Bombyx mori: one gene and its partners. The protein of the gene in region 2 purifies or fractionates together with the protein of the main gene of each other region. This does not show direct contact. Links are inferred from orthologs where the notes say so. Each region holds a gene or a part of one and is shown on either strand. Other genes may lie near its edges.

The links. The genes of interacting proteins can lie anywhere in the genome.
Region 1: the proteins of AP-2 complex subunit mu (region 2) and AP-1 complex subunit gamma-1 purify together in Homo sapiens (affinity purification with mass spectrometry; 3 studies listed by BioGRID and IntAct, counting the BioPlex papers as one, with this or other methods). This does not show direct contact. The link is inferred for Bombyx mori from reciprocal best matches to the Homo sapiens genes AP2M1 and AP1G1.
Region 3: the proteins of AP-2 complex subunit mu (region 2) and ralBP1-associated Eps domain-containing protein 1 purify together in Homo sapiens (affinity purification with mass spectrometry; 3 studies listed by BioGRID and IntAct, counting the BioPlex papers as one, with this or other methods). This does not show direct contact. The link is inferred for Bombyx mori from reciprocal best matches to the Homo sapiens genes AP2M1 and REPS1.

Annotation. Positions count from the first base shown.
Region 1 is NC_085116.1:14,739,445-14,743,205, forward strand, and holds the start of AP-1 complex subunit gamma-1, read right to left. Parts: upstream 2,170-3,761; 5' UTR 2,088-2,169; coding exon 2,029-2,087; intron 1,385-2,028; exon of another isoform or gene 1,195-1,384; coding exon of another isoform or gene 1,175-1,194; intron 1-1,174. Other genes in the region: ADP-ribosylation factor-related protein 1, read right to left, coding at 2,462-2,555. UniProt on the Homo sapiens protein: Subunit of clathrin-associated adaptor protein complex 1 that plays a role in protein sorting in the late-Golgi/trans-Golgi network (TGN) and/or endosomes.
Region 2 is NC_085114.1:2,133,442-2,137,202, reverse strand, and holds the start of AP-2 complex subunit mu, read right to left. Parts: upstream 2,452-3,761; 5' UTR 1,996-2,451; intron 984-1,995; 5' UTR 972-983; coding exon 795-971; intron 47-794; coding exon 1-46. Other genes in the region: GlcNAcase3 (beta-N-acetylglucosaminidase 3), read left to right, coding at 2,774-2,795, 3,058-3,188.
Region 3 is NC_085109.1:4,009,097-4,012,857, reverse strand, and holds the start of ralBP1-associated Eps domain-containing protein 1, read right to left. Parts: upstream 2,312-3,761; 5' UTR 2,085-2,311; coding exon 1,935-2,084; intron 1,851-1,934; coding exon 1,440-1,850; intron 1-1,439. UniProt on the Homo sapiens protein: May coordinate the cellular actions of activated EGF receptors and Ral-GTPases.

The sequences.
Region 1 (3,761 bases), on a different chromosome or scaffold from region 2:
AATACAATTTCCACTGGATTTAATAGATGGATTTCCACTAGATTAAATTATCTTTCAATTTATTGCCAAATAAACTCATATCATGGTCTATGACAATTTCTAGTGCAATTTGTGGATTCTAGTTTGAAGGGTAAGCCTGCAGCTATACAATAGAGAGTTGAGATTTGCTGCTTTAAGCTGGGTGGTGCTTCTGCTTCAGTAACAAATGCAGCACATGGGATTTAGCATGTCTGCTCATCATCAGTTATAGTATGGTGAAATAATGAATATTAATAATAAGATCATTTTTTTCATTTTTATAAAGTAAAACTTTGAAGTTTTTTTTTTAATTTGAACCACTCCTCTGCAAATAACAGAATAAAATTAAAAACATTGTACTTAATGTTCTAATTTTTTTTTCTCCGTTCTGGCTGGTGTTTGACGTACTTCTTTTTAATACTCTTTTATAAGCTGGGTTTATGTGTAACAGAATTGTTGAATGTCATTTCACTTACTTCGAGGCGTCCAATTAAGTTGAAATTTGTACATACATCAAGGGCAATGACAATATAATAATTTTAATGATTTCTCTTTAATATCTTGACCAGTATCAACTGAATGAGAAATATTTTTAATTCTTAGTTCAGTTTACTAAATTAGTGTGTTTTTATAGTTTTTAAACTACATTTAAATTTCTTTGTACAGGGTTCACTCTTGAGTTTTCACACAATTGGAATTTTATAGGTTTATCTATTTAAATTTGGTTATAGACAGATAAGATTATTATTTATTAGCCATATAGAGCAGATATTGTTTTTCAATATTATTATTAAAAAACCTTTTTGAAATAGTAAACTAATAAATTCTATAAACTTTATGTACAATTGATGGATTTGTTGATTTGAATTTTATAGGCAAACAATTAAAGAAATGTATTGTAATGTTATTCGAATATAAAATTTAGCAATGATTGTTGATTTCAGGACTAACCTGAATAAGTCACTCACAGTGGGGTTCATATAATGTTCTTTTATTTGGTAATGAATAAATATAAATAATATTGGATTTCTTTTAAGTGATGATGATTCGTTTATTAGTGGACCGTTTAGGTTGAGAGCATACAATGACTATGAAAGTAATGAGATCTTCACATAAGAATGGATTACTTAGCTTATTAAATAATACGTAAAATTACCCAGATTCGGAGCCGTTCATCTCGTACTCTTCTAGTTGTTTCTCTTTAGACAAATAAAAGTTTTTGCTTTTATGTATTTCAGACCGAATAATCTTTCAATGTCTCAACGTAGAATATGCTATCAGACAAACAAACCCGCAGAATACGCAAACTCTCACTTGGTTATACTTAAAAAACAAACTTTAAAGAACTAAATAATAAATTACACGTCTCTAGTTATGCTCAAAGGCATTTTATTTCGTCACAAACCATAGAAATGCAAGTGAAATCTCATGCCACCTTTGATTAAATTCTGACATATTTTTCACTTAATTAAGGATTAAAATCACACTATTTAGGAATAACTAAAGTTTTTTATAATCACATACGCATGAATATTTAAATATAATTGATTATTTTTATCACAATAATTGTAACGAATTAATACAATAGCCAGCTGACATTTCCGTGGTGCGTTGCAAGAAATTCAACATGGCCGCCATGACTCGCACATGACGTTTACCGCTGCTGGTCAAATATTTTCTGTTTTGAAAATTGTATTTAGTATATACGTAATCCATAGATTTAATATGCAAAAGGAAATATAAAAATCAATGTTACTTAAAATTTTCAAGAATGTAAACATAATTCTGTAAAATGAAAGTAAAAATATGACTTTGGCTGGAAAACTGATGTTTCAGAACGAACGTTACGTGGAAAACTTTTTCCATTACTGTCTGAAATGAACATAGTTTCCGGTCTACGAGATACGATTTCATTTTGATACTGATCTACTAATCTGTGTATTACAAACACGGAGGCTGATTAGTCGTATTCATTGATATATAAATGTCCGTTGTCACGTTTTAACCTACCTTCTATTTTGCTCAGGCGGCAACACACTCCAATCTACTTCATACATAGGATATGCCATGGTTGCAGTGAAAAACAACACATAAAATAACTATAAATCTTTTAATAAAAACATTTCACACAGTATGCCACGATATTTGACGACAGTGCAAACTAAACTGTTATCAGAGGTGTTTTATCAGGTGCAGGTGCTCCTCAAATATCCAGTCACAACGTATCTCTTATCAAAGGTACAATTTATCACTGAAAAAGGACAGCAATACCACTTCTAGTAATGTTTTATTTTCAAATGTCAATACTGTACAAAACAATGGACTGAACGAGTCATATACACATTATCTTAATAGGAAAACTAATTATTATTCATTGTATTATGTAGGTACGACTCGATACGATTACTGAGCATGTATCGTGCGTGTGTCGCTCTTTAAATGCTCATAAGTTATCATCGTGGTTACGGGGAGGACGATCGACGCTGTTGCGTTTTATGCAGTCTACAAGCCATCGGATGCCTTCGTCCACGCCATCACTAAAAAAATAATATGAACAAAATTAAAGTTAATTCAAAACAATATGTCAATTTACATTCCAAGATATTCCGTATACTTATTTATTCTAAAATTCTGATGTTTAAAGTGTTTTTCTTCACACTTTTTATCTATTTAAACATTTAATAGAATCGCATACATTCACAAAGTGGGTTATTTCAATATTTAAAACAAATACATATTGTTCGACTAAGAGAGTATTGCGTTGGCGAACGGATGATGGAATGGTTATTATGATCGTATTTTTATGTACGTATGTGATCGTAGTCATGAATTCGATTTAAATAGTTGTGTTCTATTATAATGATAATTTTAAATACCTGGTGCACATTGTCCGTCCTTGCCTACCTGAAGTTTTCTATCTAAAGCAGTTTTTTAAGAGAATAACGATCGTAAGTTTGCCAGCGTTTGGCGGGAACGCGAGGAGCGTTGTGGTCTGATTTGTTTTATTTTGTTAATTTAGCGTTTCATCAGATTTCAATGTAATAGTGGTAATATAATGGTGGTTTATTAACTGTTTATCGTCTATGAAACTAAACAAAAGTCGGAAAATAAAACAAAGCTCGTATACCTGGCATTTTGGGTTCTTGAAAAAAATCCACTTAGCTCTTATTAAGAAACACCTTTTTATCGAGACTTTATTTCATCCCATCTCATCTTGTTTCATTTAGTTTCATATCATTTTTCATATAACAGAATATATATATCGAAGGGTGGAAGGCTCTAGTTTAAGCGATATTTGCTAATAGTGGTTAAAATATGAAACTGCCGTTTTATTGTAATTGGTACTTCGAATTGACATAGAACCTTCATGGTTTCAGATTTTTGAGTGAAACTTTTTTCAAATGGTAGCTATGAGGTTTTTCTTTTAAAAAATGGGCAACATTCGATTACCTACCTACCTACCTAATAAAACTTTCAGTTGCTTTTTTTATTCAACGCTGCAGAAACAGCTCGCAATATCAAAGTTGCGTTTGGAGAGGGGACTGGTAATGAACGCACCGTGCGATTTTGGTTTAAACGCTTTCGTGATGGAAATTTTGGTTTGAAGAACGAACCACGTGGAAGACCGCCCACACATATGATAAAAATGAATTGAAAGAGATGGTGGAAGCCGATCCGAGCCAAACTACCCAGGAATTAGCGACATGGTTAAACGTTACCTTACCAACTATTTTGACTCATTT
Region 2 (3,761 bases):
CGTTCACATTTTGCTTTGTGACTGCTGCCAGCCAAATATTTGCACGCTACAAATAAAATTTATTTTGAATATTTAAGCATATCGTTTGCCTATCAGAAATATTCAACTGTATTCTCTGCTTTGACACTGTATATAAATATTTTAAGCTCTTTGAATTGACTTTTATGTGGAAGTCCTAAGAAAATTAAAGGCTTATTAAACATTTTTATTGCCTTGATTGATGACACAACCCACCTGATGCTGAGTGGCCTAAATCATGAACACCACGAGCACAAAAAATAATGTACCTACCACATTATGTGTGTATATATATATAATATGAGGTAATTTGGTGACCATCTCAAAAATTGAAATAGTAACCATAGCTTCATCTACAGTTGATTGGTGTTAAAAATATAGAGAAACAAAGTGGCGACCACATATTGGTCACCAAATGTCGGTGGTCGCCACTTTAAATGTACTTTTGTGTTCATTGGATGCCAAAAGTGTTACAGGATATATATATATATATTTTTTTTTTTTTGTGTATGTATTTGTGGTTTAATATAAATTTCATTACACCTACCACTATTTACTCTGCACTACCTTTAGTTGACTGGTAGAGAATGTCTTAGGCATTAAGTCCGCCAATGTAAATTTTACATGAGGTGTAATAAATAAATAAATAATGACTGTTATTACAACATATTTCATTAATCGAATGCAAGATATCTTATATTCTTCAAATTAAAACACATGATTTATTTCTACTAAAAACTGTTAGAAGAACTTCATAAAAAAAATGGTAACAGTACCTTGATATGGAAGAAAGATGTGCGTGCAATGTTGGTAACAGGTGATCGCACCTGCTGGCGAGCATGGATCACATTCACTCTGAATGCGTCCACAGCATTACGACCAATATCATCTCGGTAGACTCTCGAGATCAACACCTCGCCTTTATGGTTGTAAACGAACAAGCCTCCGATCATTGTAGGTGAGGCCTAAGGATATATATATTTGTTTTAATTTCAGGTGACAGAATGGTCTTTAAGCTCTAAACTTTAGGTTTTAATTGTCTAAAGAGCAGCATTTTACGATTTAAATGGTTAAATTTTTGTTTTTATACAGCTATCCACTAATTGCTCTCAAAGTTACATGTATTTTTTTTGGTACAGTTCCCTTCATTTGTTTTTGGGGTGAACTTTTTGCAGATATGCAATCTTTTGTTGTATGACTTGCAGAAACCATATACCATTTATTCAGAAAATCGGAAGTGTTTGGTGCAATATCCTACACAGTTATCAAAGATTATTAACAATGGAATGAAAAGTGAGTATCACTTCTTGAGAAACATTGTAGTAATGACTAAGGTAATGGTGTCACCAACCTGTGTGTGTAAGATTTACAGCAAGTACTTAAGATACAAGTCAAAAGAATAAGTAGAATTATTTAAGACAATGTAGTAAGGATTTAATGGTTAGTACTACAGATTTCAGGCGGAGAAGCGGCTGTGGAATATCTATAGGGTGCCAAGGCCACATACCTGTATCTCTAGCCTGATTGCCAGATTAACTACCATCAGAAGGGCTAAGTGACGACCTTGTATCAAATAGTAACCAGACCCTATAGATATCCTGACCCTCCTTGAGACGTAAGGTTGAGGTTTGTGTTGTACAAGAGCTGTCCCACCCTCTAAGCCTGAACGCTTCGTAAAACCAATAGAAAGAATGGTGGAACCTAATCGCTGACTCTCACGATGAAAACAATACGCTAAGAATAATTACCCAACACGACAAAAAGTATGGGCGAATGTCCCAGAATCCCAATAACAGAAGTACCCACATACATTATGGAAAATAAATCGAATAAATACACGTTAATTTGTTGTTGTTGAATTTTATTTGTTGGTTTTATCGAGAGATTTGAAAATAAATCAATAAAACAGAAATAAGAAATACATTAAAAAAAACAGGGCGTTCATTTGTGATATGAATATTTATTAAAAACGCTTACCTCACACTCTTTCAAAATTGGTTTCAATGTAATTGCTATTCAGCGATTACATCCCTTTAGAAATTTAACGTAATGTAGGCAGCATTTTTCTCAATAGAGAATTATTCAACCCAAAAATGAGCCGCCCCCAAATTGAAACGTCAATTGTTACTTTTTTAAAGTTTGCTTCCGACCATTGGCTACTCGACTCTTTAGCCTTAAAACAATCAATCTTTTTCAAGCTATTAAAATGTTCTCACCAAACTGCTGAAATTATACTGAGACTATTGAAAAACCACTAAAATGTCAATACAATACAATGTAACGCCATTTTGCTGATGGCAGCTGAATGATATTGTTGTCCGTTGAGACAGTATCAAAAAACTAATGAGAAACAATGTCCTGCATTTTTTTTAATTTTCCTTACACTCATACAATATTGAAAATATTGAAAACCCAGTAAGCTATATTTTTCACAGATTCAATCAGAAAAATTACTGAATTGGCAAAAAATCAATATAGACAACATATATTTTTAGATTTCCACCAAGTGTGGAAATGTGCACCACAAAGTGCATGGCATAGATAATTTGTTGAAGAAAGAAAAGGAAGAAAATTCACGCACTGACCCACCTTATCCTAAATATAAGTAATTTATGCTTGCATTCTACATTAAAATTAATATTAAAACTCATAATCTATGACACCAAAATGAAAACGACAAAAGTCGGAGTTTGAAATGTATTTTTTATCAGTAACCCAGTTAATTTAAATTGAATTGTTTCAAGCCAATGAAGCTATGGAAATAAGCGATATTTTAGGTATTTGAATGTGTTATCTAAGACTTTATAAACATAGTACAAAATGCGCAAAAATACGCCTTTCATTTTTTACTGAGCAACAACACTCATGGAAGTCTGATTTTGTGAAATATTATCGATGACAGACTGTCTTCTAGCAGACTATATAATGCTAGGAGACAGGGTATTTCACAACATTTTGTATTCAACCTTATAGCGAGCAGTCGCGTTTACAAAATGTTTCGTCTTTTTGTTTATTTAAATATTTTAGGCGCTTTTTTAGTGACCGGTTTGCATATCGTGGAACCGGGACCCGAATATCCAGCATCGAAAGGTGCAATTTGGCCAAGACCGCAAATGCAATCGATAGAAATTCCTTATTACAAATTTGATAGTGATATACTCGAAATTAAGGTAACTTTTTCTTTCTCCTAATAATTATGAGCTTATTTAAACAATACTGTTTTTGTTTTTGTGAAAGTTAATGATTTTTCCAAATGTTTATTTTGTGTGTTTTCATACATTTGGCGGAATAGCGATTGCACTTAGCACACGGTTAAACTTTACATCCTGCTTATTGCTGCCATGAAGTAGGGACATGTTTCACTTTGAATATTAACACAGTCATGATTGATTACTATGAGACTTGGGTGTTGGCATTGACATTGTAAGATCTATGGACCTCAATGACCACTTAACATCATATGAGCCGCTACGTAATACGCGTGGCTGTTATTACATTTACTTAACAGTACTTAATATTTATTACTTTTTATCAGCTATTTGATAGTAGGTACCTCTATCATTGCCGATGTCTATGAGTAGCGCTGACACCTTTTCATCAACGGCACCTTATGTTCGTATGCCTTCGTAAACAAAAAATTCATAACCATTTTTAGGGTTCCGTAGTCACTTAACTAAAAACCAATTCTGTTTGACCTATTTTAAAGCGGAACGTATTACTACTTTGTGGTAGACATAGGCAGG
Region 3 (3,761 bases), on a different chromosome or scaffold from region 2:
GGACCGAGTGGAGAAGATTGACATACAGTCACGATCCTCAGCATTGAGGGAACGACCAGAAAGAAGGCAGACGAGCATACGGCCCACCTGATGGTGAGTGGTTACCGCCGCTCATGAACGTCAGCAATGCCAGGGGCAGAGCCAAGCCGCTGCCTACCGTTTAATACTCTCCACAAACCTTGTTTGAAGATGGACATATCATAGCGCTCGGGAAACACTGGTTAAATAGAGTGCTATTGCTACAGAAGGCTAATGAAATTATTTGGAGATAAATGATAATAATAATAAATAACTGGGAACAAATCATGCAATGCTCATCAGGCTCCAAATTAGGATTACCTGTGTTATGGGTACAAGAGACTGACATACACACTTCTATATTTGTTTACATATAAACATATATAGATAATAAAGCCCCATACAAAGAGAAATAACCTGTTCATCACACAAATATTTGCCCAATGTTGGATGGATGTCCTCGGTGCAACAGTCACTGAGACCACTGAGTCAGTCTGTACAAGACCATTTTTATTAAATTTTGAAATACAGAAAGACTGAATTTAGAAGCATTTTTGGTGTGAAATGCATATTCATAAAAATCTTTATTAATAGTAGCTACAGGAGATTGGAGGTAATTTTATCTTCTAATAAGAGAATATCTCATGCATCTATTTTGAAGATTAATAGTAATAATATAATCTTCTGGCAAATACTCAATTCCAATTCACAATAACCAATGCATACATGATAAGGCAAAAGTTAATGCTAATATTACAGATGTTAAATAATTCAGTCACTTATTCTGAAATTCAATATAAGTCCAGAATAATATAAGCTAAAACAGAATTATCTAGTGCTACTGCTTAATATTAGAAAAGCTAGAAGACCAACAATTACTCTAATAATTTACATTACTTTCATTAGGATTTTTAATGACTTTTAGAGACTTGTCATTCTAAATCACTAATTTGCTCTCTGTCACAGACACTATCTTATTCTTTTTAGCATATCTTAGAGTATAAAACACAATATTACTACAAAATTAAAACTCATTCATACACCAACAAAAACAACTAAATATGAAATTATATGTATCTCATTTGTAACAGAATGTATTCGACATATGACAAATGAATCATGCCAATATTTATAAATTAAGTTTGCAGATACAAGTTTGAAAATATTAAAAAACCATTTGGATTTGTAATCAAGTTTTATAACATCCTCTTTTTTTGGTCTTTGTATCAAACTAATAAACTAATAAAGCTGTGGTTTTGTTATTTGCGGCATTTAGTCTATATAGACTTTAAATTTGAATAAGTAATGAAATAAATTTTATTTACCTAGTGTGATGTTTTTCTGTGGACTATTTACTTAATCTTACAATTGATTTAAGATATCCAAGCAAGTATTGAATAAAAAAATTATCCCAAACTTACACCACGCGATCCAGATCTTTGTGACATTGTTTCCGACTCAATTTCAGAATCAGTACTGAGTGCTTCATTCCCATCATGAGACAATGTCTGCGGAACATCACTATCAGACAGATTAGAAGATAGTCTTATTGGTTCATAAGCACTAATATTTCCAACAAAATTTCTTTCACGTTTTGATATGTGATGCTCTTTAGGAGAATTAGATAGCTGTATTAAATCAGAATTAGCTTCTGAGTTAAGTGCCCACGTGAACCTCGGCAGTGGAAGATCAATAGGAGTTGATAAAAGATCAGGTTTAAGTGCTATGTTAGTTTGATGTGCAGCTATTAATTTAAGTGCTGAGTAAAATTGCTTCCTGTTCATATGATTTAATGTTGCACAGTTGTTAGGAGACACGCTTATATCCATGATCTGAAAAATATCAAAGTTATGTACCAATATTATATGTACAACCTGTGTTATCACTTAATGGGTGTAACCTATTCATTTTATTACCTGTTTCAGAATATCATTGGATATGTTCGACGATCTAAATAGTTCTGTTGCTTTTAAAATTGGTATTTTCCCATTAGATTCTTCATCACAACATAAAAACAAATCACCGAAATATCTTGTTTCGGTTTCTGTCAAGTTGAGATCCTCCATTATTTTATTAATTTAACAACTGTACAAACTCCTATAACTTTTATCAATTCCAGGTTAAATGTACAACAAAAGTAATCATTATCTATTGATAAAAACCATATTCCTTAGTAAATAGATGGATTTGTATCTTGCTCATCACAAAATTTACACGAAGCAAACGAAATGTCACTGACAGAACAAAGACAGCTGAAGCGACTTTCGTCCATCATTTGTACGACCACAGACCTAACACAATATTCGATCTGGGTGCTTTAGCAATTTGTTTCAGTCTTTCAGCCCAGTCACGCAATTAAAGTTAGTCAGCCTTGTCAAAGAGTTATGATATTTTTTTATTAAATTATTCTTAATATGACGAAAGCATTGTTGGTGGTCCGGAGGTCTTTCCAGTTTCACCAGGACAGGGTTATGATATTATTATATCGAAACGTACCGTGCATACATGAATCGTCCATTATCAAAGGTGGCAATCTGTGCATTTGGACAAAAACATGTTAATGATATGTCAATACAGATTGATTTGAATATAATCGTCTCCTTCAAAGAATACGGTTCAAAACCTGCATGAAATAAAGGTTAATACTTAACCTGTTATTTATCTAAGATGTCGTTCAGAAGAGTTTTGTGACTGCCAATGGAATACAAAGTCAATAATTCGTTTTTCTGATTTAGCAATAATTGTTCAAAAGTCACATTGCCGGCTTTGATAATAGTCGACTCACATATAGGTACAGCAAGAGAGTTCATGTCCGAACCCATATAATATTCAAGTTATTGTTGAATGCATCTTGCTTTGGCTGGTTCAGACTCGTAGTGTATGACATCAGCTTTCGCAGTAAAAGGTTTTTTGAGATATTCTAAAGAATCCAACCGAATATTCTGTTCAAAATATAATAAAGTTGCGGATTTAAAAATTATACATTGAACCATATTTTCATTATAATCTCTATTTTCACAAGCGTTGATGTTTTAATGAGAAATAATATGTACCTACTTATACAAGGTTCAAACACATAATATGTAGTTGTAAACAAATCGTTACATATTTTTCATTTTCAGTAATATAAATACCGAGAATTCATTCCATTAATCATGTTAGGAGGAAAGTTTGTACACCTATCCTAAAAAATATGTTAGTTCTGAAAATAGCCTAATGTCCAGTGTAGAAGACAATCTTCTTCCCAAATTCGAAACTCAACATTGTTGGTCTTTCTTTTTTATTTAAAATAAAATATAATCGTTGTAGGCAAAGAAGCTTACGGTCAGTGTTAAATGCTTAGCGAATCCCACATCGTAACTAAATATTGTTTAATGGCCTGCCAGAAGCAAGAATTGAAAAAGAAGGAAACTGCGTACATTCTAACAAATTTTCAGATTTCTACCTATAAATACTTTTAATTAACCAAAATTGATTTCCTTCTTTTAGTAGGTAGGTACTCGTCTCTATAATCTTATTTATGTTAATAAGCAACGCTACAATTTAAACGGATAATTTTTGTCTCTGGCTAGTTCTTCATTCCACTAACACAAGTGGTATGCTTTCACCAGTTTAAAAACTTAGTTTTCTGTTAGATACTAGTGGTAAAGCATGCTTCTGTGAAGTTGGAAGTGGATAACACTACCCTACCTTCCTTATATAAAGCAATACAAAATATAATTAGAAGTAATTCCTTTGTCATG